4 linked regions of the Arabidopsis thaliana genome follow. The protein of the gene in region 1 interacts with the protein of each later gene in a pairwise test. Each region holds a gene or a part of one and is shown on either strand. Other genes may lie near its edges.

The links.
Region 2: the proteins of IMPA-6 (region 1) and AT2G45820 interact in a two-hybrid assay, tested with the Arabidopsis thaliana proteins (2 studies listed by BioGRID, with this or other methods).
Region 3: the proteins of IMPA-6 (region 1) and FER1 interact in binary tests that used the Arabidopsis thaliana proteins (3 or more experiments, as listed by UniProt).
Region 4: the proteins of IMPA-6 (region 1) and PRA1.F4 interact in a two-hybrid assay, tested with the Arabidopsis thaliana proteins (one large-scale study listed by BioGRID).

What each region holds. Positions count from the first base shown.
Region 1 is NC_003070.9:580,865-589,408, forward strand, and holds IMPA-6 (importin alpha), read left to right. Parts: upstream 1-3,395; 5' UTR 3,396-3,532; coding exon 3,533-3,754; intron 3,755-3,995; coding exon 3,996-4,092; intron 4,093-4,188; coding exon 4,189-4,280; intron 4,281-4,372; coding exon 4,373-4,504; intron 4,505-4,635; coding exon 4,636-4,821; intron 4,822-4,911; coding exon 4,912-5,078; intron 5,079-5,158; coding exon 5,159-5,237; intron 5,238-5,327; coding exon 5,328-5,456; intron 5,457-5,574; coding exon 5,575-5,702; intron 5,703-5,784; coding exon 5,785-6,172; 3' UTR 6,173-6,355; downstream 6,356-8,544. Other genes in the region: TAF13 (TBP-associated factor 13), read left to right, coding at 220-322, 414-451, 633-692, 780-854, 951-1,055; AT1G02700 (GATA transcription factor-like protein), read left to right, coding at 7,503-7,676, 7,799-8,368. UniProt on the Arabidopsis thaliana protein: Binds to conventional NLS motifs and mediates nuclear protein import across the nuclear envelope. Acts as a cellular receptor for the nuclear import of the virD2 protein of Agrobacterium, but is not essential for Agrobacterium-mediated root transformation.
Region 2 is NC_003071.7:18,860,646-18,867,795, forward strand, and holds AT2G45820 (Remorin family protein), read right to left. Parts: upstream 4,097-7,150; 5' UTR 3,932-4,096; coding exon 3,778-3,931; intron 3,088-3,777; coding exon 3,034-3,087; intron 2,939-3,033; coding exon 2,851-2,938; intron 2,779-2,850; coding exon 2,502-2,778; 3' UTR 2,308-2,501; downstream 1-2,307. Other genes in the region: AT2G45810 (DEA(D/H)-box RNA helicase family protein), read left to right, coding at 1-37, 185-423, 645-896, 990-1,170, 1,248-1,336, 1,436-1,509, 1,595-1,673; DTA2 (downstream target of AGL15 2), read left to right, coding at 5,679-5,858, 5,962-6,515, 6,607-6,799, 6,886-6,950, 7,031-7,150. UniProt on the Arabidopsis thaliana protein: Exhibits a non sequence-specific DNA-binding activity.
Region 3 is NC_003076.8:226,782-234,439, forward strand, and holds FER1 (ferretin 1), read right to left. Parts: upstream 3,271-7,658; 5' UTR 2,814-3,270; coding exon 2,506-2,813; exon of another isoform or gene 2,482-2,505; intron 2,417-2,481; coding exon 2,333-2,416; intron 2,221-2,332; coding exon 2,160-2,220; intron 2,060-2,159; coding exon 1,972-2,059; intron 1,871-1,971; coding exon 1,809-1,870; intron 1,714-1,808; coding exon 1,648-1,713; intron 1,555-1,647; coding exon 1,491-1,554; intron 1,403-1,490; coding exon 1,368-1,402; 3' UTR 1,172-1,367; downstream 1-1,171. Other genes in the region: AT5G01610 (hypothetical protein (Protein of unknown function, DUF538)), read left to right, coding at 4,294-4,380, 4,704-4,758, 4,843-5,213; TBL35 (TRICHOME BIREFRINGENCE-LIKE 35), read left to right, coding at 6,101-6,311, 6,402-6,711, 6,910-7,081, 7,183-7,379, 7,461-7,613.
Region 4 is NC_003074.8:4,488,902-4,497,599, forward strand, and holds PRA1.F4 (prenylated RAB acceptor 1.F4), read right to left. Parts: upstream 4,931-8,698; 5' UTR 4,658-4,930; coding exon 4,091-4,657; 3' UTR 3,732-4,090; coding exon of another isoform or gene 3,450-3,731; intron 3,396-3,449; coding exon of another isoform or gene 3,333-3,395; intron 3,255-3,332; coding exon of another isoform or gene 3,173-3,254; intron 3,085-3,172; coding exon of another isoform or gene 3,010-3,084; intron 2,923-3,009; coding exon of another isoform or gene 2,850-2,922; intron 2,760-2,849; coding exon of another isoform or gene 2,717-2,759; intron 2,560-2,716; coding exon of another isoform or gene 2,444-2,559; intron 2,332-2,443; coding exon of another isoform or gene 2,262-2,331; intron 2,194-2,261; coding exon of another isoform or gene 2,107-2,193; intron 1,989-2,106; coding exon of another isoform or gene 1,958-1,988; 3' UTR 1,727-1,957; downstream 1-1,726. Other genes in the region: AT3G13690 (kinase with adenine nucleotide alpha hydrolases-like domain-containing protein), read left to right, coding at 1-147, 245-321, 408-555, 628-777, 877-1,110; AT3G13700 (RNA-binding (RRM/RBD/RNP motifs) family protein), read right to left, coding at 2,107-2,193, 2,262-2,331, 2,444-2,559, 2,717-2,759, 2,850-2,922, 3,010-3,084, 3,173-3,254, 3,333-3,395 and 1 more; PRA8 (PRA1 (Prenylated rab acceptor) family protein), read right to left, coding at 6,301-6,867.

The sequences.
Region 1 (8,544 bases):
ACAACTTTCCGGTAGCTCTCTGGTTTTGATTGCGGTAGAAATCTAGAATATAGGCTCGGAATTTCATTTTCTAGTTGAGATTACACTGTTTTTTCTTTTTTGAAAATTTTCACCTAGGGTTAGTATTTGACTCAATTGGATTTTGTCGGTAGAGGAATTTCACTTATTTTTCTATTATTTTGCTCTCCTGGATTTTGATTATCAGAAGAAGAAGAAGAGATGAGTAACACACCAGCAGCGGCGGCGTCATCATCGTCTAAATCGAAAGCTGCGGGAACTTCTCAGCCACAGGAAAAGCGCAAAACTCTCTTTCAAAAAGAATGTAAAGTCTTTAGTTAAAACCAGATTTTTGTATTCTTCATTTTGTGATTCTTCTGGTAACAATGGTTTTGGTGCTTTTGTTGATTTTTCAGTGCAGCATATGATGTATGGATTTGGCGACGAGCAAAACGTAAGCCGCTATCCTCTTCATTACTATTTTGTTGCCATATGAACCGTATTTGTAGATATAGTTTCATTCCAATACAAGTAACGAATTAGGTAGAGAATCTTTGCTTTAAAGGGTTCTTGGTCGTGTAACATCTTTTAGTGTTTTACCACCTGAAACTGATCCAAAACTCCTCTGTATTTAGCCTCTTCCAGAGTCTGTGGCGCTTGTAGAAGACATTGTTGTGGAATACGTCACAGATTTGGTAGTGAGCTTTTTCTTTTTGTGAATGATTCATGTTTTACATTACAAGCGGAGAGATATTAGCTAACAAGTGATGTTTCAATGGCAGACACATAAAGCTCAAGAAATTGGTTCAAAGCGAGGAAGACTTCTAGTTGATGATTTCTTGTATCTTATCCGCAAGGTAAAAATTCTTTTTAAAAAGTACACAATCGATGATTGAGATGGTTTATGGTTTTGTATTCTATATCCGAAACTTTGGCGTCTTTGATTTATGCAGGATTTGCCAAAACTGAACCGCTGTAGAGAACTGTTGGCGATGCAGGAAGAGCTGAAACAAGCACGCAAAGCTTTTGATGTCGACGAAAAGGAACTCGTTGATTGATCTTGCTTTTCCTCAACGGGAGGAACAAATGCTAGGTAAGAGGAACCTCATGGATGCCGGACTAGGGACAGCGTTTTAGGTTGTAATCAGAATTCGAAGCACAGTAGCAAAAAAAAAGTGTGTTGACTTAAAAAAGGTGAAAAAAAATCTTGCACAAGGCCGACTCATATTAAATGTAGGCCCATTAGAAGAAAGCCCATTATCTAGCATCCCGTATATATCTACGGACGACCTTTAATTTTTCTTGAGTCAGGAATTTCGAAACCCTAAAAATTTAGAATAACCACCCGATTTTTGTTTCTTTCATTAAATTAATTACCGCAATAATTATAAAATTAGTCATCATTATAAGACTTTTGTTTTTCTCTAAATTTTTCGTCATCTTTCTGATATTTTGATTCATTATTTTACCATGGAAACAATAAATAAGAATGGTGATCAATTACCAACTAAAGAAAATCATTGTGATCAATTAGAGATAGAGCAAATAAACAACACGAGCATGAAGAAGAAAAAGTCATCACGTGGGATGCACATGTTCTCCGTCGTCATGTTCATGCTTCGTCGCCGCCGGGGAGAAAACCCTTCAACACCAGGTTCTGGCGGCGAGTCGTTAAGTCCGTACGTAAACTCCGTTTCGAAATTACGATAATGCCATCGTCAACTTTTACTAACACAATTGTTCTCCCTCCGGCTCCTCCTCCTCTGCCAGCGACAGAAATGGGAGGAGACGATGGTGATAATGATAATGAAGATGATGATGATTCCGAGGGTCGTTTATCAGAGACTATGGAGGTTTTCACGGCGGCTTCATCTTCATCATCATCAGGAATCTCGGGATATGGATCAGCCATGTCCTTATATGATGATGATATTGATGAGGAAGAAGATGAATGTTATAGTGATGTGGAAGGAGGAGACGATATGATTGATGAGAAAGCTGAGGTTCTATGCAATAATGAAGATGCAAAATCAGGTTTACACTGATCGTTGCAAAGCCAAAGGGATATATAGTGATGCATTAATGATCTTATTAATTATGGTTCGTATCATCTATCAAGTTTACGTCATCATCATTCAGGTTTTAATTTCTTGGTCATTTTTGGTTTTTGTATTATAATTTAATTTAATTCCTTTTAACTTTTTCTTCATTTTTGTTTCTGTAATTAGTGAGTGTATTTGAATTCATTAATGAGAAAATAGGAGAATGAAGTATATCTACTAAATTCTATTTGTGTTTGTGGGGAATGTTAAATTTGGTTTGCAGATTAAAGATCTCGTTAAATATTTTATGTTCAATGTTTTCAATCGGAAATTGGTCATATTAATAGCACATTTGACCAATTCATTGAATCGAGTTCTTTTCGAAAATTGAAGACTTTGATAATACCAACCGTTTATATTATGCATGGACATATGCGTAAGTGAAAAATCATACTGAGCGATGGTAACAATTACACAGTTGATTCCATTTCGTGAAAAACTCATAGAAACAACGGTGACAAATGAAGTTTCCATAGCCAAGAATTGGATCCTCGCCATACGATTAACCTACCGAGATGAACCAACGGTGATCATCTCTCTAAACTCCAAGACCAATCCTCAAGATGATGCAAAAATCTCGACTCTTCAACTATGCATCAAAACCAAATGCCTCATACTCCAACTACTTCATATGAAACAAAATACCAATCTCGGCGAATGCCTTAGTGATCTATTTCGTGATGAGAGGTTTGTTTTTGTAGGAATAGGTATTGCTAAAACTGTCGCTAAGCTCGGTGGGCTAGTTAGAGTAGTGGTTAAGAAAGTTGACGTTCGTGATCTGGTAAAGGTAAATTTTCCATTTAGTTATGGTGAGAGGTCAAGGGTTAGCTTGAAGGGTATGGCTTGTGAGTTGTTGGGATTTGGTTCGTGGAAACCGAAGAGGGAGATTTGTCCGAGAGACTTGGCTAATGAAGTTCTTGATGTAGAGGTGGTTAAGTTCTTGTCCGTTGATGCTTATGTTTGTCATGAAATAGCGTTTAAGATGCTTAAATACCAGGCCCAATTTATTGTAATCAGATTCATAAAACATTACTTTACTGAGCAAACGTTGGGCCGATATTGGGCTAATTTATATAATAAAGCCTCTTTATTAAAGTCAAAAGACAGGTCAGCATTAGTAATCACTATATTACTAAAATCGCGCTATACCTTTTGTAGACGTTGCGATTTCAAATTCAAAAGTTGTGGCAATATCGTGATTAATACTAAAGCCTAAGCCCAATATCGTCTTTTACCCGTAGCCTCCTCGAATCCCGACGTCACGTTGTATAAATTATATCGCATCACTCCAAAACCCTGATTCTCCTGCTCCTTCGTCTTCTTCATCTTCCTCTGAGAAATCAAAAACTCGATCGATCAATTCGTTGTTCGTCTACATCGATTCCTTCAGAACCTAGTGATCCTCTGTTTTGGTTGATTCGATTAAGCTAACCATGTCTTACAAACCAAGCGCGAAGACTGAGGTTCGCCGGAACAGGTATAAAGTATCTGTGGACGCCGATGAAGGTCGCCGGAGACGGGAGGATAACATGGTGGAGATCCGGAAGAACAAGAGAGAGGAGAACTTGCAGAAGAAGCGGCGTGAAGGTTTTAATCCTTCCATGGCGTCACAGCCAGGGCAGGATTTCTCCTCGTCTCTCCCTACGGAAACGAGAGTACGTTCTTCGTGTTCTATATCTAATTGATTGTGTTTCTCTCGTTTATGTTTGGTACCGAATTTAGATTGAGAACTAGTTAGGGTATCTCGGTGAATTAGAATGAAATTGAAAGCTTCTGATCTAGTTACCTAGATAAATAATTGGATCAGGAGTACTGAATTTTGGGGTTTACTGAACCCTAATTTCAGAATCTGCATTGCTTGAGGTTAGATAATAAGTTGCCCTGATTCAATTGCAGTTGGAGAATATACAACAGATGATTGCTGGAGTAATGTCAGAGGATAGAGACTTACAATTGGAGGCGACGGCTAGCTTCAGGAGATTGCTTTCAATTGGTACGTGATTTATAAATCTCTTAACATGGCGTTTAGGGTTTGATTGTTTTGTGGGTTTTAGTTTTTGCTTATTGTGGTTGGTTGAATTTTTTGTAGAGCGAAATCCTCCAATCAATGAAGTTGTTCAATCTGGTGTTGTTCCTCACATTGTGCAATTTCTTTCCAGGGATGACTTCACTCAACTTCAGGTGAGCTTGCCTTTCTTATATCTAAGTGTAGCTTGGTGCTTTGATTCATATGCTGATGGCTTTTGCTGTTTGCTTTGCTTGTATAACTATAGTTTGAGGCAGCTTGGGCGCTTACCAATATCGCTTCAGGGACATCTGAGAACACTAGGGTCATTATTGATAGTGGTGCTGTCCCTTTATTCGTCAAACTTCTTAGTTCTGCAAGTGAGGAAGTTCGAGAACAGGTATCAATTTAGATTCAATATCAATTTTCTTTCTATTGTTCTGGCAAAGAAACTCTTAGATCAAATTGCTGATGACTCGATTCCGACTGTTTTAACATCCTGATTTCTATGTTTTTTTCCCCTGATTATAGGCTGTATGGGCATTGGGAAACGTTGCTGGTGACTCGCCAAAATGTCGTGATCATGTCCTAAGTTGTGAGGCTATGATGTCTCTTCTGGCTCAATTCCATGAGCATTCAAAGCTCTCCATGCTGAGGAATGCTACATGGACATTATCAAATTTCTGCAGAGGGAAGCCGCAGCCTGCATTTGAACAGGTTTCCTTGCATATAAGATATATAAACCAATTTGAAGTGTTTTTTCTCAACTGTTTATTAATATGAGAATGTGTCATTGCATTTGTTGAGCAGACAAAAGCAGCTTTACCAGCTCTTGAGCGCCTTCTGCATTCAACCGACGAAGAAGTTCTCACAGATGCATCCTGGGCTCTCTCATATCTCTCTGATGGTACAAACGAGAAAATACAAACTGTTATCGACGCTGGTGTCATCCCTCGCCTTGTTCAGCTCTTGGCGTAAGTAATTTTCTTTTAGCTACCAATTCTATATCATTCACATATATCTTGACCTGATCTCGTTATCTGTGTCTTCTTAGTCATCCATCGCCCTCAGTTCTGATTCCAGCTCTCCGTACAATTGGTAACATTGTAACCGGAGATGATATTCAGACTCAGGTAGTCTATTATCCGTAACTGTCTGCCTTTTATATCTCCTATAGTTTTGATGTTTACTTAAGTAAATCATCTCTGTTTTCTCCATAACAGGCGGTTATTAGCAGTCAAGCGCTTCCTGGTCTGTTAAACCTTTTGAAGAACACATACAAGAAGAGTATCAAGAAGGAAGCTTGCTGGACTATCTCTAACATTACAGCTGGGAACACAAGTCAAATTCAAGTGAGTTATATACATTATTAACAAATAACAATGTTCAAAAACCAATATCTTTTCTTATAATTTAAAACCAGAAGTCGTATATACATTTGGATTTAACATCGATAAATTTGTTGTGCAGGAAGTGTTTCAGGCAGGCATTATTCGGCCTCTGATTAACCTGCTTGAGATCGGTGAATTCGAAATTAAGAAAGAAGCTGTTTGGGCAATCTCTAATGCAACTTCTGGTGGCAATCATGACCAAATCAAGTACAACAAATCTCATTGTTTCTGTCTCTTTTTAGTTTTTTTTTCAGTGATTCTTGTTATAGAACCTCTTATATCCTTGCAGGTTTCTCGTGAGCCAAGGCTGCATCAGACCCCTGTGTGATCTCCTACCGTGTCCCGATCCAAGGGTTGTCACAGTGACTTTGGAAGGTCTAGAAAACATTCTCAAAGTAGGTGAAGCCGAGAAGAATCTAGGCAACACAGGAAACGATAATCTGTACGCGCAGATGATTGAAGACGCAGATGGTTTGGACAAGATTGAGAATCTTCAGAGTCACGATAATAATGAGATTTATGAGAAAGCAGTCAAAATCCTGGAGTCGTATTGGGCTGCAGATGACGAGGAGGAAGATATTGGCGGTGTGGATGCTCCTGAGAATGTTCAGTCTTCCGGTTTCCAATTCGGAAACCAAAGTGGTAATGCTCCTACGGGTGGATTCAACTTTGGTTGAAGGTTTCTGTAGTATTCTCTCAGTTGCTTGAACTTAAGAACAAAGGTCGCTCGTTGTCTTTTCTAAAAACAGTTTAGGTTTTTTTTTCTCTTTTTTGGGTCATGTTTTGAGTGAATTTTGTATTTTTAGAAGTTTGGATATTTTGTTCTCTCGCGTTTAAGGCGGAAATTAAAGTGTTTCACTATCTGCTCTGCTATGTGCTTTTTAAGCTCTCCTGCTAAAAACAATTATGAAATAAATGCGATAAAAATGACTTCTTAAAGCTTCAAAATTTATGCAGAATCAACATCTACATGTCTTATTTACGCAAAAATCAGTTTAATGTTAATGCGTGACAAAATAAGAAGGAAAATAGACAATCAAAGTCGCGAATTAAATTGCAAATATTTAGTTAGGTAATGCGTTATAATGCAATTTTAATACGATCACAATAACTATATACTATTTATTTTTTAATGATCAATTTATTTTTTAAAGTTAGTATACATAAAAGTTTGCAAATTGTATTTATCTATAAAATATTTTTATTTTATAGTTTATAATTGTTATTAAGTAACGTCCTGCCAAACTCGTCCCGCCAACTCGTCCCATAAAAAAAACATTTATTTTATTAATGTTAATCTTATTTCTGATATGTTTATGAATTATTGTCTAATTATTTTGTAATTTTGTAGTAATTATATGCTATCAAATATCTCTGCAGTTTGATGATTATAACTGAATTGTTATAGTCATGGAGAAAAGCAATATCAAAAATGATAATTTTGTAGTAATTAAATGATATTAATATTTTGGAAGGTTTATTTTAGTAACTAATCGTGTAGTTAATGTGGAGAGATTTAGAGAAGATTGTTAAATATTAAATATTTAATTTAAAGATTTTTTTTTAATGATCAAAAACAAACAATAAAATTTAATGGCAGCCATTGTAAATAAATCTCAATTCTATTAATTTATTTTGCAAAATAATCGTAAAAATGTATATATAGATTAATCCGTGACAAATAATAAATAGTCTGTTTTTATGTTTTTGACAGCAAAATCTTATTTGAGGCTCTGTTGAATTTTATTTACCAAGAAGGTAATGCAATTAGCATATTTTTCTTTCTAAAGAAAAGAAAATAATAAAAATTAAGACAGACAAATCTGGAGACACCGATCGAGCAGCTTCTAACTTTTTCTAGTCATTCTAAATCCGCCACGTCATTAACAACGAGGCATGCCATCAACACGTGTCGACACGAGTCTCTCTAAAAATGGCTACTACAAAGTACAAACTTTCTTTAATCAGCGAGGAAACGCAGAAAACAAAAATTGTGTAGAAAGCTAGATGATGATGCAATCCCGATTATTAGCGTTTGCTTCAGCGGCGCGTTCACGTGTTCGACCAATCGCTCAAAGGCGTTTAGCGTTTGGATCATCCACGTCTGGTCGCACAGCTGATCCAGAGATCCATGCCGGTAACGATGGAGCCGATCCAGCTATCTATCCGAGAGACCCTGAAGTAATAATTGTTTCTTTTCTCTTGTTTTCAATTTTAGACCATGTTGAAAATAAAGAAAAATGTTCTAAAATACACAAAGAAATCAACTTTGTTTAAGTTTTTGGTGATTGCTTGTGTTTCAGGGTATGGATGATGTTGCAAACCCTAAAACGGCGGCGGAAGAAATCGTAGACGATACTCCCCGACCGAGTTTAGAAGAGCAACCGCTTGTACCGCCGAAATCTCCACGCGCCACTGCGCACAAGCTAGAGAGTACTCCCGTTGGTCACCCGTCAGAACCTCATTTCCAACAGAAACGAAAAAACTCCACCGCTTCTCCGCCGTCGCTTGATTCCGTGAGCTGTGCTGGTTTAGACGGTTCACCATGGCCGAGAGACGAAGGAGAAGTGGAAGAGCAAAGGCGAAGAGAAGATGAAACAGAGAGTGACCAAGAGTTTTACAAACACCACAAAGCTTCTCCGTTATCGGAGATTGAATTCGCCGATACTCGGAAACCTATTACGCAAGCTACCGATGGAACTGCCTACCCAGCCGGGAAAGATGTGATCGGATGGTTACCGGAGCAGCTAGACACGGCGGAAGAATCTTTGATGAAAGCAACAATGATATTCAAACGCAACGCAGAACGTGGCGATCCTGAAACGTTTCCTCATTCTAGAATCTTAAGAGAAATGAGAGGCGAGTGGTTTTAAACTAAAGACCACAATAAAATGTTAAGAAGTGTCTGAATAAACTTTTGTCAATTAGCTTCATTGAGACATTTTGGTTCCTTACGAAAGTGAACAAAGCCTCTTTATGTCCCAAATCTCTAGAAACCCTAAAATCAAAAGAATTTGTTCGTACATTATGGATTACAGTTATGGTATGG
Region 2 (7,150 bases), on another chromosome or scaffold:
CTTGAGAAAATTGATCCAGAGAACAATGTCATTCAAGGTTTTTTACTTTCCTTTTAGAACTTTTCTCTGTTAAAAGATCTCCTACCTTTCTCTGTAGTGAGTTAGTTGATCAGTGGAACTTCCAGTGAAACCCTACTTTCTTACTGAGTTTTCAGTACTTTTGTTGATCTTTTTTCTTATGCAGCCGTAATTCTAGTTCCAACCCGAGAGCTCGCCCTTCAGACATCCCAGGTTTGCAAGGAGCTTTCCAAATATTTGAAAATTGAGGTTATGGTCACCACTGGCGGTACCAGTCTGAGGGATGATATCATGCGATTGTATCAACCTGTCCATTTACTGGTTGGAACTCCTGGAAGAATATTAGATCTTGCCAAAAAGGGTGTGTGTGTTTTGAAAGATTGTGCCATGCTTGTAATGGATGAGGTGAGTTCCTAATTCTATTACCCCTGAGCTAGATTTTTCTTATTAACAAACATTGTTGGATTTTTGCCCAAAAGGACATTTCTAGTTTTTCCCTGAACATAACTTTCTCTAAAGTTAAAACAAAATCGATTCCTCTTATGCTTCATATTTGCAGATTTTGATTGAATAATTTTCTTTTCCTCATGAGCTCATGGTCTTAACTCGCAAACATCTTTTTTCAGGCCGACAAGCTTTTGTCTGTAGAATTTCAACCTTCTATAGAGGAGTTGATACAGTTCTTGCCAGAGAGCCGGCAGATTTTGATGTTTTCAGCTACATTTCCTGTCACTGTGAAGTCTTTCAAGGATCGGTATCTCAAGAAGCCTTACATTATCAATCTCATGGATCAGCTCACACTTATGGGTGTTACCCAATATTATGCTTTTGTTGAAGAGAGACAGAAGGTGCACTGCCTTAACACGCTATTCTCTAAGGTCAGAGTTTTGTTACAGTCTTAAAACCCCAATGTTTTATTTTCTGGCTACTTGATGTATCTTTTAAAGGAAATATTGTTTTATCTATTGCAGCTCCAAATAAACCAATCCATTATCTTTTGCAACTCTGTTAATCGTGTTGAGCTGTTGGCCAAGAAAATTACAGAACTTGGTTACTCATGCTTCTATATCCATGCAAAGATGGTTCAAGACCATCGGAACAGGGTTTTCCATGATTTCCGCAATGGTGCATGCAGAAATCTTGTTTGCACTGGTACGTTTTGTGTATTTCATGTGCTTGAACATTGACAAATGTGTTTATGTTTCACGGGGAATGTCTGTCTGTTGCAGATTTGTTTACACGTGGGATTGACATTCAAGCTGTGAATGTGGTGATAAATTTCGATTTTCCTAGGACTTCTGAGTCGTATCTACATAGGGTATGTTAAGGGAAGCCGATTTTGGTTTATCTTCTTGAGAACCTGCTCTGTTTTATTTGTTCAAATTGTGAATGGGTTTTTGCTTCATTATATTACCAGGTAGGCAGATCAGGACGATTTGGACACCTTGGGTTGGCTGTGAATTTGGTAACTTATGAGGACCGCTTCAAAATGTTCGTGTTTCTTTTTCTCAACTGGTGTGGCCTCTCTTTTCATAGATGCTATAGCTTTCTTACTCAATTATTTGGTTTCCAACAGGTATCAGACAGAGCAAGAACTTGGAACTGAAATCAAGCCCATACCTTCACTTATCGACAAGGCAATCTACTGTCAGTAACTTCTACCTGGTGTACATTCTCTACCCGGCAAGGCATTGATGGACTAACCGGTGAGACAAATCCCTCTCTAGGCATCTTGACATTAGAACTAACCTGCATTGCTCATAGACCAAATTTCCATTGATTTTGGTTTGCGGTTATTTAGGTGTAGTGAGGAGGCAAATCATTCAGCTTTGGCAGCCACTAGCTCGTTCTAGAGATGAAGGCAACACATAGAGTACTGTACTGAGGCAAGAAGAGACAGTATAGGTGGTTGATGGCGATGGAAGCGGTTGATTGTGTCTAAACCTTTAAAGCAGTACCGGCTTGATTTGGTTTGAATTGAAGACTTCTTCTGCTGCATGATATGAACCTTAAAGTTGTCTTCTCTCATCTCTAATTTTCATGTTCTTAGAAACCTTTTCACCTTTTCATTTTGATGTTCTCTCATCTTGAAGACTTGAGAGGAATTTCCGAGTAGTGAGATCAAACCGAAGAAGACATTTTAACTTCATTCGCTTGTTTATTGCTTTTAGATCTCCACCTGTGCCTGAACTGTTTAAGGATTATAGTTGGTGTGTGTCAAGTCAAGTGTCTTAGCATTTTAAGAGTTACAGATCAGATGTGAAGTCGTACAACTGAAACAAAAGGCAAAACAAGATTTGATGCTTCATACAATTATACTCCATTAATCTTTCACTTTTACACACAATCACCCAATATGTAAACAAGACACAAACGACCAAACAAATAACAAAAACTAAAAAGAGTTGTTGAATCACACAAAAACAAAAGAAGAAGAAAGAAACAGAGATGAATTGTTACAAAGATACAAATTCAATAAAGGCTTAGAAACATCCACACGTTGCCTTTGGTACTACACCAGTGGCTCTATACTTAGCACCCATTTCTTCAGCTTTGAGAAGCTCTTCTCCTTTTTTAGCTTCAACCATTGCTCTCTTCTCTTCTGCTAACTTGTGGATTGCAGCTACTTTGTTCTTCATTTTCTCACCGTACTGCGCTTTTTTCTTCTCTAATTTTTCCTCGATCTTCCTAAGTTGAGCTTCTACGGCTGCTTTCTTGCTATTTTCCCAAGCATGCACATCAGAGATCTTCTTTTGTGCCCTGTCCATTTCAAGATCATCAGAGATCTGTAAGCAATAGTAATCTTTGGGTGAGAAGATGATGAAAGTTTACCTGTTCTCAGCCTTTGACTTCTCACTCTCTTCCCATGCTTTGATGAATGACGTTTTCTTCTCTTTTTCCAAGTCGGCAAGTATCACATCTGACCAAACACACACAACACACATTTGAAGTAAATTACTGAACTAAGTAACTAAGAAACTGGACATGAGAAACAAAGTGTTGTTATCAGCTGACCTCTATCGGCCGAACCAGATGAAGCTTTCTTAGGTGTATGCTCCTCGATGGGTTCTGCAAGAAGCACACTTATAAGTATAACACATGGATATTTGTTGCAAGAAGCTCACTTTTAACTAAGTTAAATTTTGTTGCTCTAATTGGCTAATAAGGTCATCAAAATAGTAGTTTATAAAACGAAACTCCACACAGAAGGAATTACAGATAGTAAATAAAGATGAACAAATGAATGTTCAAGGATTATAAAAACTGCTGGAAAGTTAGTACTTAATTGTTATTTTCCAAGAGTTAAGCAACTTTAAAGGAAGGAAAAAATGTAGGAATATTAAGAAAGTAACCCACTTTCCTTAATTCATAGCTGTCCACAACTAATTTGTCATGATTCCATACACTTTTTGATAACACTAATTACAGGGAACATTGCTTTACTATTAATCATATTTTAATAATATCATCCTCGAAAAACATAATTCTCTTGAAAATGCCATGATGAAGTTGTAAATTCTAACAGCGATGGATTTCACCTAAACAAATAGAGTATAGACCAAGTCATATGCAAAAGAACTCACAAAAACCTTAGGCATCTTAAGAAAATCCATTTGTTAATTGTAAATTGAAACCTTAGTTCCAAACGTAAGAATTCTGAATTACATACTATAATAATTCATCGTAAACATGAATGAATCCTCCTAAGTAGAAGATTAACATATATAAAACACACACGTATGTAAATAGAAAGCTTACTTTCTACAACGGCAAGAGCTTTGGACTCGACGGGAGGTGGATTATGAATTTTCTCATCCGCGACTTCCACCGGAGCAGGAGTCGGTTCCTTCGCCGGAGCTAAAACAGCCGGAGATTCTACGTCAACCTTACTCGTCTTTTGCTCCTCCGCCATTGTCTCTCAGCCGAAGAAGAAGAACAGATTTTATGTTTTTTCCGTGAAAATGGATAAAATTGAGATTTTAGGACAATAATGAGTTAAAGAGTTTTTATATCCTCCGTTAGCTTATACCGGTGGAGCGTACTACGCGCGTTTAATAAGTGTGAGACTCTTGTTTTGCTTCGCCGTTGATTTTTGTACCCATGTGATCGTGCGGCTGTAAAGCTCTCATACGCATTGGATGCGTTACACGTGATTAAACACACCTCACTGCCGACAAGTAAAGTGGTTCAATGATGCCACGTCACCTCTGTAGAAAATTTGTCCTCCCCTTCTTTTTTCCTGATATTCAACAAAACTTAATTCTTCCAATTATACCGAACTAAAATTTTGTTTACCATATAAATTGGTTTAAAATTGAAAATCAGATTTTAGCTGGGATTTTTTTATTATGAGAAAAACAACAATCAAACTACAATCAAGAAAATAAATGATCTATATTATTGCTAATCTTGGCTTAACTAAAAAGTTCGTATTAAAAAACTGAATCTAAATTTGGAGTGAGCTCGTATGCCTATAGAATTGACAGAGTGTCGGGTGTGTATTAAATCTATAATAAAATATCAATCACTCGAATTCATTTAAACAATTATTTTAGTTTTAAAATTTAAGTGGATCAAAGGGTGACGTGGAGCCTCACTGACTCGACACGCTGGAAGACAGATACAAAAAGGATAATGTCTGTGTCTCGCGCGTGTACAAAACTTTCCGGTTATGTGGCGCGTGGTATATGCAATTTAAACTGGTTTAAGCATGTGGTATATGGACTATGAGATGGAGACATCTCTTTTTGTAGGTGTTGGGCTTTTGTGAATCCTAATGGCCCAACGGGTTTTTAAATTTCCTGCCCAACTTGTTTTAATTTAAAGAAAGGTGTAATTTTTTTTCTAACAAAGCAATAAAGTAAATTAATTAAGGCTAATCACTAATCACAGACTCACAGTTTCGAACAGCCTGTGAAAGATGTATTAATGTATTTGTATAATAATAAAAAGTACTCTACAACATGGAATTATTTACGATTAATTATCTGTCTTGTATGATGATGAGTGGTCGAATATGGACTATGATGTCACTGACCTTTATTTAATGGGTTAAGGTTTATCTTCTTTCTTCTTTCTTCGAAGTTCGGATTCTTTTATTCAGTTTAAAGCACTTATAACAAACTTTCCCAAAGAGGACTTTAATTAATTGAACTCTTGCAGTTTTATTTTTGTAGTAAGCAGATTATTTTTCTAAGAACATCAAAGGTCTTGTATTTAGTTATTTACCAATAAATACAACGTTAATAAGAGACGATTATTTGGGAAACATTTGTGTATCACATATCAATGTCCATATGTGATTTGAGCATAGGAATACCAAATATGGATGACCAAATGTCTCCTACTAATTAATAAAATATTATCTATTTAATATTTAAAAACATTTTAACTCTTCGAAAAACTAAAAAGTAAACAAGATTCACACAAAAATATGAACGTCATTAACACAAAAGATGTGAACTCTGGTTAGTGTTGAAGATAACGTGAAACAAGATTCAAATCCTCGTGGAAGAGCACCAATCGATCACCAGAATCAAACCTTTGAGCTTCCTCCTAGCTTCGGTAACGTTTAATCTCACCTGATTCTCGTTTTTCTTCTCTTCCTGTTGAATGTTTGTGAACATAGATATATATAAAGCTGAGATAGATATAGATTCATGCTTCAACGGAAAAGCATGAAGAGGAACAACAACAATCTTCTAACGAACAAGAATAAGTATGTCTATCTTAAAACGGCGTCGCATCCAGCAAAAAGCATCGCTAAAGCTACTCTGTTCCTCGTCACCTCTCTCTTCATATCTGCTGGTCTCTTAGACTTATTGGGTTGTTTCGATTTCGTGAGTTCGAATCTGAAGTAACTTCTTTTTTAGAAACTTTTTATTCAATCAAGTGAATCTTGAACTTGAAGAGTTAATAAATTCATATCTCTCTGTACTTCAGACAACTTTTACAGGTCTGAAGCAGGTAACAACTAGTATCAGAAAATCACCAATCACAAGCCAAAGATTCCCTAACCAATGCGGCGTCGTTCAGAACCAAACTCAATTATTTCCCCAAAATGGCTCCTCGAGAAACAACGACAAACCCAGAAGCAGCCATTCAAGAATATCCACGTGTCCTTCTTACTTCCGTTGGATCCACGAAGATCTACGGCCATGGAAAGAGACAGGTGTAACGAGAGGGATGCTTGAGAAAGCCAGGAGGACGGCGCATTTCAGAGTAGTAATCCTCGACGGGAGAGTGTACGTTAAGAAATATAGAAAGTCAATCCAAACAAGAGACGTTTTTACTCTGTGGGGCATCGTACAGTTACTACGGTGGTACCCAGGTAGGTTACCGGATCTTGAGCTCATGTTTGACCCAGATGATAGACCAACCGTCCGATCTAAAGACTTTCAAGGTCAACAACACCCGGCCCCGCCTCCTTTGTTCCGTTATTGCTCTGATGACGCCAGCTTGGATATTGTCTTCCCTGATTGGTCCTTCTGGGGCTGGTAAGGGCTTAACACACATGTTAATTCTATTCTGTTCTCTATTTAATGGGCTTGTTATTGGACCTAGCTAATTATATTATTATTGGGCTAGGGCTGAGGTTAATATAAAGCCTTGGGATAAATCGCTAGTGGCGATAGAAGAAGGGAATAAGATGACTCAATGGAAAGACCGCGTGGCGTATGCTTATTGGAGAGGAAACCCTAATGTGGCTCCAACTAGAAGAGATCTTCTCAGATGTAATGTCTCAGCTCAAGAAGATTGGAACACACGTCTCTACATTCAGGTTAGGATTTCTCAAAATATGTATAATTTTTATATATTGCAATTTTTAAATAATCTAAATGATCAAAAATGTTTATTATTGTGAAGGATTGGGATAGAGAGTCAAGAGAAGGATTCAAGAACTCTAACCTAGAGAACCAATGCACCCACAGGTTTAACTTAAGCCACACTTTTTGTACTTAGGAAATATTTGCAAAGATTCGATTTTAAATGTGTGATAATGATGGAATAGGTACAAGATTTATATAGAAGGATGGGCATGGTCAGTGAGTGAGAAATATATAATGGCATGTGATTCAATGACATTGTACGTGAGACCTATGTTCTATGATTTTTACGTACGAGGAATGAT
Region 3 (7,658 bases), on another chromosome or scaffold:
GTTTTAAACCAACGTTCGACATTGAGAGTTTATCAGAAAAAGAGGAACTGTTTCATTAAATATTCTATGGGCTTACATGGGCTTATGAATTTATCTCGACAGACATTAAATATTCTATAAATGGGCCTCAGTTTGTAAGGCCTAACTATAGCTTTTGCGTAACAACATACCCGACCCGGTTTGTAGTGTACCGAAATGTTAAGTGGCGATACTCGATTGGTGCCCTTCGCTACAAAATTGGGATTTGTTTTTGTCCATTTTCGGTTTCGGTTCCCTGAGAGTCCCGGAAGCTCAGTGGTCGGAGTGTCGGCGTTCAATTTCTCGATGACTAATAACCCTCAAATTGTGGTTAGTTTTTCTCTCCGTCTCTCTCAATTTCATCGTCCTTGTCCAATTTTAAGCACTTGTGGTGTCGATTTCCATATCTGTTCTCTGCTAGGGTTTTAGCTGGAGTCTGAGCTATTTTGAAACTTGTTGTTTATGGATTCCAAATTGGTTGCGTTATCTTAGAGGATACTATCTTATTAGAATGCGTATTTCTCTAGATTAGATGCATGGTGCTATAACATTCGGGATTATTTGACATTTCCTTGCTTTTGATCAGAGCATTACTACTGTGATAAGTGTTCTTGTTAGGGTCATACAAGTATCCAATCTTGATTGTTCCCGTGCGAGGGACTTCTTCGTCATTATACAAATAAGATTCTCAATCTTTACTTAATGCTTAGTGGTTTGAAGAACCATGATGAAAAGATAAATCACTAAGGGAGAATCTGTACATGAAAAGCTTAATGGTGTTTTCATACGTCATGAACTTCTTATGGATACTCATTTTCGTACATTTGTCAGCTCTTTGTAGAACAGACAGGTCTTTGTTTGGTTAGAAATGATTTTCTACTGTTCAACATGGAATCAAAGTAAGAGCATCTCTTTTGCTTTGATGTGACAGTGATCTTGTTCTTGTTTGCTGTTCAGTTATATCCCAGTGACCAGCTTGTCCTTCTCGGTGGAAAGTGACATACGCTTCATGCTTCTTTTACATGTTCTTCATAAACAGGTTCGTTATGCTTACTCTTTCAAGTTGGATCATAAATATTCTATGTTTAATTAGATAGGTCTGAGTTTTCACTATTTTCTTAGTTACGCATTGTTTGGCCGTAGGTTTATAGCTAGTTAGAATATACTAAAACAAAAACTTCATTGATTAAGCTTACGAAGTTATTACAAAAACCATCTTGAACACAAAGCTTACTACTACAATCTTATTAGTCCATAATGTTCAATCTAAAGCTTTTACAGAATCTTCGGGTTCTTCTGTTTTAACCCCAACATTGGTCATCTGAAAGTGAACTTATAGAGGTCCAAGTCTAGTTCAGAAGCATCTGGTCGAAATGCCAAACTCCTGCAAAGACAGAACAAATGTAAATAAGCTTTTAGAAATACCATTCAAGTCTGAGAACACTATCTCAATATAGGGTTTTGATTCGTACCGTGGCCTTTGCCGATCATCCTTAGCTGGGTGATGTAGTCTGAGATCTTCTTGATTGCTTCAATCTAGAAATAGTCCATAATATATTCTGAGTCAGAACATGTACAGATTATACAAGTCACTAGTTGTAATCCGAACAAAGGCAAAAGAACTTTTACCTGCTCTCCCAGAAATTCACTCTCAACGAAATCAGCTAACTGGGGATCATTGTTCTCTGAGGCCACCTGTTTTGTTGGCCAAAAGTACGTGTTAGTTAGTATTAGGAAAATGACTATAAGTTTAATCTTTGATGATCAAATGGATAAGTTAGGGAACTTACTTTGTGAACGTTTAGAAGCTTCTCATTAGTGAGTTTCTCTAGAGACAGAGCCAACTCCATTGCTGAAAACAAAGATTAGTAAACTAATAAATATCTGTATCTTTAAAAAAAAAGAAAAGTTGTTATTTTAGGATTAAGATAGTGTATTTGCTTAAAGTTTTACCATATAAAGCATCTCCTTTTTCAGCATGTTCGAATTCTGAGATAGGTGAGACGATAGGGTGGAGTTTCACTCTTCCTCCTCTTTGGTTCTGTATAGAGACAACAAACCAACAATATGAATATTAACTAAGTGAATCACAAGTCTTTATCAACTTTTCTAAAACAGAAAAGAAGGTAAAAATAGAAAACCTGGTACTCCATAAACTTCTCAGCATGCCCTCTCTCTTCCTCACTTGATTCCTTGAAAAATCTGGTGATTATAAAAACTCATGTTTAGTATGGACATATATATCTCATTTTGAAGTATACGATCAAGATTATTATAAATAAGATTAAGATTAGAGTTAGAAGGTAATAATTACTTGGCTAGTCCCTTCATAGCAACGTTGTCTCTGTCAAAGTATGCGTACATTGAATGGTACACATAGGAGACGTTGTATTCCACACTGTAAATAGAAAGCAACCTCCTCCGTTAGATCTAATCTTTAAACATTTTCGTTTCTTTAATTAGACAGAAAAGAAAAGAGAAGCTTACTTGATTTGCTCATTAATGACTGCCTCGCTAGCGTCGGCAAACCTCTGGCGAGCGAGAGAGGCATGAGATGTGATTGGAATGGCCAGATCGGCTTTCTTCACCTCTTCGAAAGGCTGGAACACGACTCCGGTCATCGGCATGTTGTTTGTGTCCACCGTAGCCGCTGCAACGACCACTGCTCTGCCGCCGCCAACTTTCCTGGAGAAGCCGAGAGAAACCGACGGAGAAGCAGAGCCGTGAGGGAGTAGTGGCTTAGGAGACAGAGCGGGATTAGCGGCGGTGAAAGACGAGAGTGCGTTTGAGGCCATCGTTGGAAAATGTAGAAGAGGATAGTGTTGAGCCGCCTGAGATTTGTTGTAAGAGATGGTGATGATGATAAGAAAGAGGAAGGAGGAAGGGTTTATATAAGAGGGAAAAGGCGTGTGGTCACCGTTGGATTGAGATCCACGTGGAGGGTGGATATGAAAGCCAGATGTAGGGGCGTGTGGCGGCCTCGTGCTACATCCAATGGGATAGTGTGAACGTGAGGATATTCGATCCACGTTAACATCTCTCCAAATAAAGTTTGTCTGTTTCTCTGCTTTCTCTTTTATCCTCAGAATCTTTTTACCATTTCCGGTTCCTACTCTCGCGTTGCCACTTTCTTATTTCCTACTCGCTCTCTCCTATTTTTCGAAATGTATTTTTTAGAGTTGTAGATGATAACAAATACAATTGTTTACTATAAAAAAAAAAAAAGAAAAGATGATAGCGTTTCCAACATAAGTTAGACGTGTAAAATCCTGTGACACATATTGACATAGGAAATCGGATAGAGATAAAAGTATTTCCATATTGTTTTTATAAAAAATCATCAAGCTACTAGAACATAAGATTGAGAATGGTCCAAACCCTTTAAGACTTTCCGTATTATGTGGCCTAATATTCATAATTTACAACAAAGAAGGAAAAATTCGTGGCTCTCTAGGATATTTGATGGAGACGGAAAACTGATATACAATTATACATAGGATAGAGTCGCGAGTAGCTCAACTCCACGTAATTTCCAGCTAAAGCGCGTGAGAGGTTCCAAATGGTTCCTTGTCTTTATCGGAGACAATTACACGTCGGAGTAAGTACATTGTGGGCCTCATTAGTAATGTCACGGCCCAAGTTAAAAAATCATATCAAATGGTTTTTCTAAAAAGTTGTAATGTTGGCAAGGACAAAAATTAAGCATTAAATAAAGTGTAGTTAGGCTTGGTTTTATTTTATTGGCTTGATTTGAATCGATTCGTATTACTCTGGAATGCACAAAGACAAGGGTAGGCTATAAAAGTGTTAAAGAGCTTAATAATATTTTCGACTGTAATTACAAATTTAGCTGAGGTTCGTCTAATAGACAAGTAAAATCATGGGAGGAATGGCAAAAAAAAAGGATTGATTGTAGTCTTTAATTTTACTCTGTTTTGTGCCATGTGGTTCTTCAGTTCCCAAGTTGTGTTGCACCTATTTAATCTGATTTTCATTGAAGGCCCAATAGATAGATAGTCAGTCCCAAGGAGGAGTGATAGGCAAGTACTTTTTTTTGTAATTTGTACAGTATAATGCTGCCTGCTTGCTTCAATAAATATATTGGTGTTTATGTATTTGCCACATGTCATAAGTTAATTGGCTGCAGGAATAGTGCACAAATAACGAATCCAACGGTGCGAGAGTGGTGGGTTCCCAAAATTCTTTCCCGGAAGAAAAAGAAAGAAAGTCGTCCTTCGTTTTCTCAAAATCTTCTCTATCCTTTCTCGAGAGAATATGGATCAGATCTTCAACAAGGTTGGATCCTACTGGTTAGGCCAAAAGGCTAACAAGCAGTTTGACTCCGTCGGCAACGATCTCAACGTACGTCTTTTTTTGACCCATCCTATAGAATCTGATTCATCTGTTTTCCTAATCGATTTTGATCTATTGACGTGGTTCCGATATAATCAACCACCTTTATCGTAATTTTGGTATCATGCAGTTGTACGAATGTTTTGAGTTCATTGTTAGGTAAATCACGTCACATAAGGAAGAACATCTAATTACCAAAACCATGATATCTTAAGAAATGATTCAAATATATGATCCTATAATGTCTTCTCTTCTTGCTCATGTGGTTAGATTATTTTGTTTGAAACTGTGATCTTTTCTAACATATAAAACAATGTTTTTGTTTATGCCAGTCGGTGTCAACGAGCATTGAAGGAGGAACAAAATGGTTGGTCAACAAAATCAAAGGTTTGCTTTTTTTTATTCTTCTTCTGACTGCATCTTTCAATTTTTTGTTTTTTTGAAATTCCCCATTTGTCATCATGTTGACAGGGAAAATGCAGAAGCCGTTGCCTGAGTTACTAAAAGAATATGATTTGCCGATTGGAATCTTCCCGGGAGATGCTACAAACTACGAGTTCGATGAAGAGACAAAGAAACTAACCGTTTTGATCCCATCGATATGCGAAGTTGGATACAAGGATTCATCAGTGTTGAAGTTCACAACAACAGTAACAGGACATCTTGAGAAAGGAAAGCTAACAGATGTGGAAGGAATCAAGACAAAAGTAATGATATGGGTAAAAGTGACAAGCATATCTACAGATGCATCAAAGGTCTATTTCACTGCAGGAATGAAGAAGAGCAGAAGCAGAGATGCTTATGAGGTTCAAAGAAATGGTCTCCGAGTCGATAAATTCTAACACCTGTCTGTGTTCTGTCTGGTTCCAAAGTTTCAAGCTTTTCCATTTACGTTTTGGTTTTGATTTAAAGCCTCCTACTGTGAGTATACATCAACTTATTTATAAATCTGATCATAACTTCAATATGGCCGGAGCAATTCTACTTTGTTCTTTTTTTTTTCCAATTGTAAAGAACTACTATTCGTGTGCTCAATGATTTGGTCTTACAATTTTTTACTTGGGTTAATTTATGTTCTCTCATATATTCAAAATGAATTTGACACTCACACCAAAAAAAGTAGAAGCATGAGATGATAATCATTTTGATGTACATTTAAAGAGGTAACTAAAGGTGTTTAAAAAAGTTTTTGTACATAAGTTAAAAGAATTGATTATGATAAGCCTAAAATATGGAACATTATTACTCTACTTTTGGCTTAACAGCATTTATAATAGTCAGATTTGAGAATAAATCACACTCGCAATTGAAGCGTGTTTGATCTCACATGCCCAAAAGAATCCATCCATTTTTCTTTGCAAAAAACTGAATTAAAAAGAAGAAAAAAGGAGAAGTGTGAAATTTTTTAAAAGAAAGAAACAAAAGGATTTATTAAAAAAAAAAAAAAAGAGATGAAGACAGCTCGAGGGATGCAATAGAGCCAAGAGGAGGAGAAAGATGGGATCTGGTAAACAAAACACGTCAAAGTCAAATTACAAATTTATATTTTATAAAACAGATAACAACAACAAATTAAACTTTTATTAATCTCTCTCTGCCTCTACTCACTGGATCATCATAGCTCCAAACTTGTACCAGTCGCATCAAAGCAAGTTTTGGTGAAGAAGAAGAGACGAGGTCTTCCTCTTACTGTGGTGGTGACATTTTCTCTAAAAAGAAAGTCTCCGATATGTCGCAGAGATGGAGTAGAAAGAAGAGTAGACTTCCATTAGCGGGTCTCCTCTTTATTCTCGTTGTCACCTTTATGATTCTCTTCAACGAGCGTAGCATTCAGCAGATCCATCACCACGCCGCGAGTCACACTCAAAATCTCCGAGAACCTTCCACGTTCGATTTCGTCAAGCCTAATGTTCCTCGGATTAACTACTTGGGAGCTCATGGTACTGTTCTGATTTGATTTTTTTTTTCCGATTTTGAAGTGATTCGTGCTACTTTCTCTGCTGAAAGCATCACGAACTTACTAATTGGAGGATTCTGTTTTGAAAAAAATGCAGAGGTTTTGGATAGATTCAGCAAATGCAACTCGACGAAAGAGTACAGTGGGAAGAAAATCGGATGGGTTGACCCGTTTGAAGACCACCCGGGTCAAGTAACAAAGGAGGAGCAGAAATGTGATGTCTTTTCTGGGAAATGGGTCTTTGATAATTCATCATCATACCCTTTACACAAGGAATCTCAGTGTCCTTACATGTCCGACCAGTTGGCTTGTCAGAAGCATGGTAGGAAGGATTTGGAGTATCAGCATTGGAGATGGCAACCTCATGCCTGCAACTTGAAGAGGTAAAAAAACTTATGCTGCTTGTTTCATTTTTCCAAGTTTTTCTGTAAGAGTTATGTGTGTTGTGGATAACTGATTTGATCAAATGGAGAACATATGGATGAATAGTTTGTTATGACTTTGGGAGCTACTATTGTTTGCAAAGAACGGTAGAAACTGATGATTTAGGTGTTTACTGTGGTTATCATTTTATCTGGTAGATGGAATGCGATAGAAATGTGGGAGAAGCTGAGAGGAAAGAGATTGATGTTTGTTGGAGACTCGTTAAACAGAGGCCAATGGATTTCAATGGTTTGTCTCTTACAGTCTGTCATTCCACGTGACAAGCAGTCTATGTCTCCTAACGCTCACCTCACCATTTTCAGGGCTGAGGTAATAAATACACTCTGAGTTTAACAACTTTTATGCCTTGAGTTTGACTCTTTGTTGTGGTTTTGGTGCAATTGGTTACTTTGGTGTGTATGTACCCGCAGGACTACAATGCCACAGTGGAGTTTCTCTGGGCACCGTTGCTCGTGGAGTCGAATTCTGATGACCCTGTTAATCACAGATTGAGCGAGCGGATTATCCGACCCGATTCTGTTCTTAAACATGCATCAAAGTGGCAACATGCTGATATTCTAATCTTCAACACCTACTTATGGTGGAGACAAGACTCTGTCAAGCTCCGGTAATTATATATAGACATCATTTTATTCATCTTCAAAACCAAAAATTAACAATTGGTACTCATTGCATATTCGAACTAAAGATGGAGCAGTGAAGAAAAAGGGTCATGCGAGGAGGTGAAGAGCGCCGAGGGAATGGAGATGGCAATGGATAGTTGGGGTGATTGGGTTGCTAACAATGTCGATCCAAACAAAAAGCGAGTTTTCTTCGTTACAATGTCTCCTACACATCAATGGTAACAAAAATACTTATCCCCTGTTCTCCATCAATATGATTGATT
Region 4 (8,698 bases), on another chromosome or scaffold:
ACTCTGGAATGGCCAGCACGGCAAAAGATTGCTGTTGGAGCTGCAAGAGGTCTTCGGTATCTTCACGAAGAGTGCAGAGTTGGCTGTATTGTCCACAGAGACATGCGTCCTAACAACATCCTCATCACTCATGATAATGAGCCACTGGTATGTATAAATATGGTCTTGCTCATTCATCGTAACAGCAGATATCCACTGTTTCATATGCTTTTTCGTCCTGAGTCAACTTTGATAATATCATCAGGTTGGAGATTTTGGTCTAGCAAGATGGCAGCCTGATGGGGAAATGGGTGTAGATACACGAGTGATAGGAACCTTCGGGTGAGACACCTACTAAAGCTATCATTTTGCTCCTGAAACTTAACAATTTGTCTGTTGCTAAAAGAAATTGCTTGGTTGGTGTGCAGCTATCTAGCTCCCGAATATGCTCAAAGCGGGCAAATCACAGAAAAAGCTGATGTCTACTCGTTCGGGGTTGTTCTAGTTGAGCTAGTCACTGGCCGCAAAGCCATTGATATCACCAGGCCGAAAGGCCAGCAATGCCTGACTGAATGGGTAATGATTTCATATCTTTAGTTTTCAGCAAAGTAACAGAACTGACTCTCCTTTTGTGGCTTGTGATCTCAGGCACGTCCTCTACTGGAAGAATATGCGATAGATGAACTTATCGATCCGAGGCTTGGGAACCGTTTTGTAGAAAGTGAGGTCATTTGTATGCTTCATGCAGCTTCGTTGTGCATACGTAGAGATCCACATTTGAGGCCACGCATGTCTCAGGTAACCAAAAGCTCTTCTTGAAATCACTCTTCAGTCTCAGTCTCAGGATCATTCAGTTTAAGTTTCTGATGATACTAAAACTTCTGGTAAATAATGAAGGTGTTGCGTATACTGGAAGGAGATATGATAATGGATGGAAACTACGCATCAACTCCAGGTTCAGAGGCAGGCAACCGAAGCGGGAGGTTCTGGGCGGATCATTACAGCGGTCAGCTAACGAATGATGGCTCGGATAGGTTCAGTGAAAGGCTGTCTGTTGAAACGCCAAGACTAGCTTTGAGGGAGAGGGAAAGAAGCCAGAGGTTTGAACTAAACCATAACAAGCAATACTAATCACACTACTTTGCTTTATGATAAGTTTAGTTGATAGGGTATTTAGTAAAGTCCTCTGTTTTAAGTGATGTGGTCCAAAGCTGGCAACACAGCTTTTTTTGTTTGTATAGTGGGGTAAGATGCAAAAACAGTTGCTAAATATGTTATCAAGGAATTTAAAATTGTTTTTGGTAAAGGAGTATTAAAAGAACAAAACAACAAGAGAGGCTTTTTCTCCTTTTTTCGAATTTGAATTATTGGTTTAGGAGAGTCAATAGAATTGTTCTGCAGAAGAAAACAAAACAATGAGAGGGCTTCCTTCTCCTTACGACATCGACATTGGAAGTCTTCAAAATTGTAATAATGGTGCATGAGAGAGAAGTCATGTTTGAATCTGACTTTGCCTGTCAATACAGTGATGCGTTGGTCCTCAGTATCTTTTCTACTTATCCGCATCACCAATTATCAAAAAATTTCAAAATTGAACACACAAGAAAAGCCCAAAGATGGCGAGGACTTTGGTGGGGCAGTACGTTCAGAGGTTCCATGGATTTTACTCACTGGATCATGACAAATATCTGATTGTCTCTTTCTATCAACGTGCTCATAACAACATAAGATTTTGGAGATCTTATTAGTAAATCTTGAATAAATATATTCATATGTATCTCTTAAGTCAGTGTCAGCATAGAAGGATTCATCTTCATGACAACAAATAGTAAGTGAAGATTTAAAATAAGAAATACAGCTTTCATTTGCTTATGATCTCTATATATCTTGTTTTCATAAGAGACTACCATTGGCATATGGTACATTATCCACCACATTCTTCATTTGAGAAGTGAGGCTTTGTGGTTATGATAATCTTTTACTGTTTCCTCATCTTTGATCTTGCATATCTGGAAGAACCAAAAACCAGGGTGTGACATTGGGGTAGCTGTAATGACTATGAGAGTAATAATCTGGCAAAATTTGAATTTTAAACTAATTGTTGAACAAGTGTAAGAAAAACTACTCTTACTCTATATGCATGCCGCCTCGGTCTGAAGAGGATAAGAGGTTCCCTTGAAGATGATTCATGGCATCAGTAGCTTGCTCGATTTCCTGCAATTGGTGAGAGTGGGTATATAGACTACAAAGACAAAATCAAAAGCATGTATAACAACTTATACCTCAAAATCAGCAAATGCAACCGGCATTCCGCCTCTAGCTCGGATTTTTAAAATGTGGAAACCAGGATATCTGTAAGCAAATGGATCAGATCAATCGACTTTCGGAAAGGCAAAAACCAATGATTGTTTGAAGAAACATTCAAACCCTAATGCTGTAGGTTTCAGTCATTGTACAAGGTTACCTAGATAGGAGTTGTTTGAGTTCATCTTCTGTACAATTAGGCCCTAGATTAGCTATAAACAAGGTCGAACAAGCTCGAGCACCAGAACCTCCTTCAGATGCTTTCTCTAAGTGCCCCTGTAGAAATCTATCAGTAAGCTACTGAACCATAAGGAAGTCTATATGGAAGTATCTTACAGTAAGTAACAAATAAGATTTTATTAATCTTCAACGAACTTGAGAAATAGAGATATCTCAACTGGTTAAAAAGATTAGATTTTTGGCTTGGACTTACATTAGCAGATGGTGCTTTACTATCTGGCTCAGAATCCGCTTCGCTGTAAATTTGCAAAGAAATCAGAATACATTAGTCTTCTTCTTTTGACCTAAAAAACTACAAAACCAAGCTTCTAATTGTCATTTTCAACCTTTTGGTAGTATCGTTTTCCTTTGGAGAATCGCTATTTCCAGGTTCCTGCACCTCATCTGGATCGCTATCCCCTAGATGCATCAACAATGATCAAGCAGAAACATAAAGCATTCATACATTTAAATAATTAGGAGTCCACAAGGTAACCAGAACATTACCTTCATCACTCTGGTCATCCTGAGACTTAGAAATTTCCTTGTTTCTGTTATCAATCACAACATAAGGTCCACTTCCTATCCACATAGACTGTTCATTACTCATTGATCGATTTACCAACCACACTAACTCAATAGTAAGAAGAGAGTAAAGTCTAGAAAATACCTGGCCTTTCTTTTCTTCTAGAGTTTGATCTAGCTAGTTCTATATGTAGATTTGATCCTGTTTGAGGATCAAATTTCACACCCTAAAAGAAATGCTTCACCACAATCAAATAACACAATGTAACAATAGAGTCACACAATTCGATCAAAGTGAATCTTACATTTAGCTCATTCATTGCAGCCAAGGCGAATCTATGACTCGTGAATGTTGCAAATGCCACAACCTGAAGATAGGTAACTTCAGAAAGCTTAAACATCGATAGAATCACAAAGTATACAGCTTTTCTAAAAATGGGAATAAAAAAAAACAGAAATTGGAGATTTTTACAAACCTGGTCACCGCGTCCAGTGTACTTGAGCTGACAAGATTCGAATCCATGACGACGACGGAAGAGATTGTGGATCTCACGAGCCTTAACGTCATTAGGCAAGCCAGAGACAAAGAGAGTGTTAATCGCCCCAGGTTCGTCGGCGAGCAGTGGCAGCTGCGGCGGAAGATGATGAGGATGAGAATGAAGTTGATAGACGTAGAAAGGATCGTACGGTTGGTGATACGCCATTTTCCTCTAGCCGGCGGCGAGGTTGACGGTTGTATTAAGCGCCGGCGAAGAGAGCTGACGTGTAAATGGAAGTGTGAGACACACTGTTTAAATGTAAAAATATGTTCCTTTTTGAATTTTATGGGCTGATACTATTGGGCCTTAATGAATGGCCCAATAAGGCGCCAAAAAGTGATAAAAGTAAGCAGCCCGCCAAAAACAAGAAGCGAAGACTTTGACATTATTAAGTTTGTTCATACTTCAAAACTTAAAAACAGAGAGAGAATCAAACCAAACTTACACGGTTACACCATAAACTATAATTACACATAAGATGATCAAAAACAATAGAATATACATAAAAATGGAGATCAATCGTTTTAAGACGAAGGGTGTGACGTCAGTCCTGAAGTCTCAGTCGTCGCCGCTTCTTCATCCAAAAAAAGATCATCCGTCTTCCTAATCACCGCATGGATCAGAACCAACACAGCTCCGGCCATCAACGCCGCAACAATATTAAACGTCGCGTTGGTCAATAGAAGTAGAACGATGGTAATCACCGATAGACCAATCAAGACCGCACGATCGTCGATTTGAAACCTGAACACCTTGAGAGGCACATCACGGAGAAAATAAAGGAAGATCCATAGGAAAACCAAACCGGTAAAGACGATGAGCGAGGTCGGATGCCAAATCAAGCTGAAGAATATGACGTTCAAGATTACGATTGCGTAATTACTACGGAAGTAAGCAAGATTTGTCTTGATTCTTGAGAAAACATCGGAGACGCCGTGAGGTAGTCCCGTGGAGTGTAAATCGAACATCACCCTCCAGGAGCGGCGCGTGGCTAGTCCGTCTTTGATACGTTGCTTAGCGCGTGAGATAGACTCGTGATTCACTGCCGGAGATGCATGAGACGACGTGGTAATCTCGTCGTTGTTCGCCATTAGTGAATAAGATGACTTGATTGAAATAATGTAAAACTGTTCTGATTTATTGTTTTATCTCTCTGTGTATAATATATGAAGAAGGTCTCTTGAATTTGCATATGGAATAAAACCAAATAAATTAGATGGTGTGTTAAAACATTAGACCGAGTTTTTTTCCGTAGAAATTTTGTGATATTATTACAATAATGTAGCGTGATGTTATATATATATAAAAGGATGTAGCGTTATGATCTGATTCAATTTGGTCAATGTCTGAAAGTCGATCGAGTTCCTGGAATATGAAGTTGGAAGAATTAAATAGAAAAACTTGGTCTGCCACGTCCAGTGTACTTGAGTCTTGAGTGGATAAGATTATGGGGATGAGGATGATGTCGATAGACGTAGTTAAGATCGTAATGTTGGTGATACGCCACTTTAAACCGGTTTGCTTCTAATTGGCGGCAAGTGTGGCGGTGGTATTAAGCGCCGGCGAAGGGAGCTGACGCGTACAAAGATGTGTATGCTCAATACTGTTAGACCATCTCCATCAGTAAGGAAAGTTTTTCAAAAAATTAAAATATTAATATTTTAATTAAGACAGATATATTAATTGTTATTTAATAGTTAAACTAATAATAGGATAACAGCTGTCCAAATTGAATGAGAATAGTTTCTCAAAGTTTCTCCTCCAAGAAACTTAATTCTCCTTCTCTCCTACTTTTTCTTCCTTCTCTCTTACTTTTTCCTTTTTTATTATATTTTTTTTATTGGGTATCTCATTGAAAGACTACTGATGAAGATGCTCTTACATATCTAATGGCGTCCGTTTAGAATTACATGGGCTAGAATATTTGTGCCTTTTGAAAGACCTAATTATATATAAGGATTTTTGCTTCAAATCTTTACATTGGAAATTTGAATAAGGCCTGCATATATATCAAGGATTTTTGCTTCAAATTGCTCATTTGTGTGACCCAAATGAAAAAAGAACTTAAATCAAGACCAAACTTTTTTTCCTACTTTGAAGGTGAACCAACCTGAATAAACTTTACAACAAAAATTGATTATTTTTTTGTTACGGAATGCAAAAAGGGAATATTCATTACAACCCATTTTGAATTTATAATGTTTGACTTATTAATTTGATTATTTATTATGTATTTCAGATTAAATCATTTTAAATATTTCAGATTAATAAATCATTCCAAGAAATTATTCCTGAGTTTTGCGAATATAAAATACTCCCTCCGTCCCACTAAGATGAATTTTTTAGAAATTGCACATTTTTTAAGAAATATTGTATAAACATAATTTTAACCTCTTAATATATTTTAAAAATAATAATAAATATTTATCTAATTATTTAGTAAGGGTAAAACGGGAAAACAATTTTAAAATTTGCATTGCAAATATAAAATTTCTATCTTTGTAAGACAAATATTTTTCCTAAAAAATTTATCTTTTATGGACAGAGGGAGTAATAAAAATTATAACAAATTAGAATTGTTCAAACTTCAGACAGAGCTCAAAACTCAGAAAACAAAAGAGAGAGAGAAAGTCTCAAACCAAACTCACACCAATAAAAATTGATTACGCATAATTAAAAAAACAAGATAATATACAAAAATAGAAAAGATACACAAATTTCGAGATGAAACGATTTAAGTCGACGGGTATGACGTCAGCCCAGAAGTCTCAGTCGTCGCCGCTTCTTCATCCAAGAAAAGATCCTCCGTCTTCCTAACCACCGAATGGATCAAAACCAACACAGCTCCGGTCACAAGCGCTCCAACAATATTAAACGTCGCGTTGGTCAACAGGAGTAAAACGACGGTTAACACCGATAAAACAATCAAGACCGTCCGATCATCGATCTGAAACCGGAACAGCTTGATAGGCTCATCACGGAGAAAATACAGAAAGATCCAAACAACGACCAAGACGGTGAAGACGATGAGCGATGTCGGATGCCAGATCAAGCTGAAGAAGATAACGATCAAGACAACGATTGCGTAGTTCATACGGAAGTAAGCAAGATTGGTCTTGATTCTTGTGAACGCATCGGAGACACCGTGAGGCAGTCCCATGGAGTGGAAATCGAACATCACTCTCCAAGCACGGCGCGTGGCTAGCCCGGCTTTGATACGGTGTTTAGCGCGTGAGAGAGACTCGACATCCACCAACGGAGATGCATGAGACGACGTCGGAATCGCACCGTAGTTCGTCATTAGTAATATCGGGTTATGGTTTAGCGCGTGTGAGATTGAATAGAGAAAGTAAATGAAAAGACTGTTTGTTATGTGTATATATGAATTCTGAAAGGTCCCAAGAATTAGGTGATACACATTTGCATATGGCGTTTTCTAAACTAATCTATGTTTATGAAATAAAACAAAATTTAATTAGATCGTGTTTTAAAAAGATTACAATATAGTGTAACGTGAGGATTTGATTCACTACTTGGTCAATGTCTGAAAAGTATAAGTTTTAGATACTCGAGATTTGGGTAACAGCAATTTATAAGTAGATGAATTACTACATGTTGAAGGACTATATAGTTAATTTGAAAGACTAATGATAAAGTAAGAGACACGGTGTCACCGAGCGAGAGTGGCATTATTGAATAGTCGATACAGGCTACACGTGACCCCATTTTAGAGGAGTCTCTCTGGCATATAACTACTCTTTCGCCACGTGTAATGTCGGCAGGAACAATGAGTAAATTATTTATAGTCTCCCTCGGACTTTATCATGATTTTTAGTCAGCCCAATTACAAAAGATATTGGCCCAATACAACGAAGGTTTCATGTCACATGCTCTCTCTCCATTGGACGATCCACATCGATAGGCTTCTTTAGCGAGCCAGACTCATGGCTGCTTTAGAATTGATCCCGCTCTGTGAAACAAGAAAATAGTTAGCTTGTGTCAAAGCACAATACATATAAGATCAAAACTATACCAAAATGTATGATGGATTACAAAAATCTTAAGTTTTTCTCCATAAGAACCAGAGAAACCTATTCAACAAGATTGCTTAAATCAAAGGTATATTATATAATGTAGCTTTCGTTACAAGTAAGCAGAGAAGCAAATACATATATGTAAATCAAGTAGTACCAGATCCACATCACCTATTTTCAAAATAATTCTACATTTTTGTATATCTCAAGGTCTTCCAACAGTCTCTAGTGTCTGCCGCAGCAAACAAAGGTTCTCTCACGACTGTTCAGGGAGACTAATTAATCCCAATAGATGGGGGATATGTTTCACTGTTACCATTACCAATCTTATATGATCACCACCCACTAGAACTAAATGGTGATATACTCATTATATACTCTTATTGTTCCAATGGTTAGTGATCATACAAGATTCGTGATTGTAAAACGTATCCGCCATCTCTTGGATTAGTATCTCTGAAATTGTCTACTTACATGAAAAAAAAAGTTAGTGTTCTCCATGGCCATGCAAACTTCACCAAAAAAAAGCTATAACAACGGAATTTCGGGCTGGACTTATCATCAGCCAAACGAGAAATAACTAACAATAAATGAAAATCAAGGTCTTGAAAAACTCAAAATAGGGAATAAAAACAAGAAAAGGCTCAACGGCGGCGATAACATAAGAAATACCTATTTGCCTAAACAGTTGCCCGTCTTTGCCAATATATAGGCTTTTCTATTATGCAACTTTTGGGCCTTTAACAGGCTTAACGGATGGATCTCTTAAAAGTGAAGCCCTCTTATCCAAATCAATTCTAAAGGCTATTGTGTTAACATAAACAACTCGTAGTTACAATAGTGAGAAAAATGTAATATAGTACAATTAGTGGTTAGATCTGGTTGTTAGTGATGTTCAGTTGAAACAACACAACTTTCTTGTCTTGTCACGTTGTTTAAATCAATTTCAGTGGGTTGTTATGTTAATTACATCATATCATATAAGTGGAGGAGAAATAATATGACTTTGCTTAATCATTCATTATTACATCTAAAACTATTAGAGACTATTCAGAAAAGAGAAAACCATCACCCAGTTAAAAATTAAAAAAATAACTA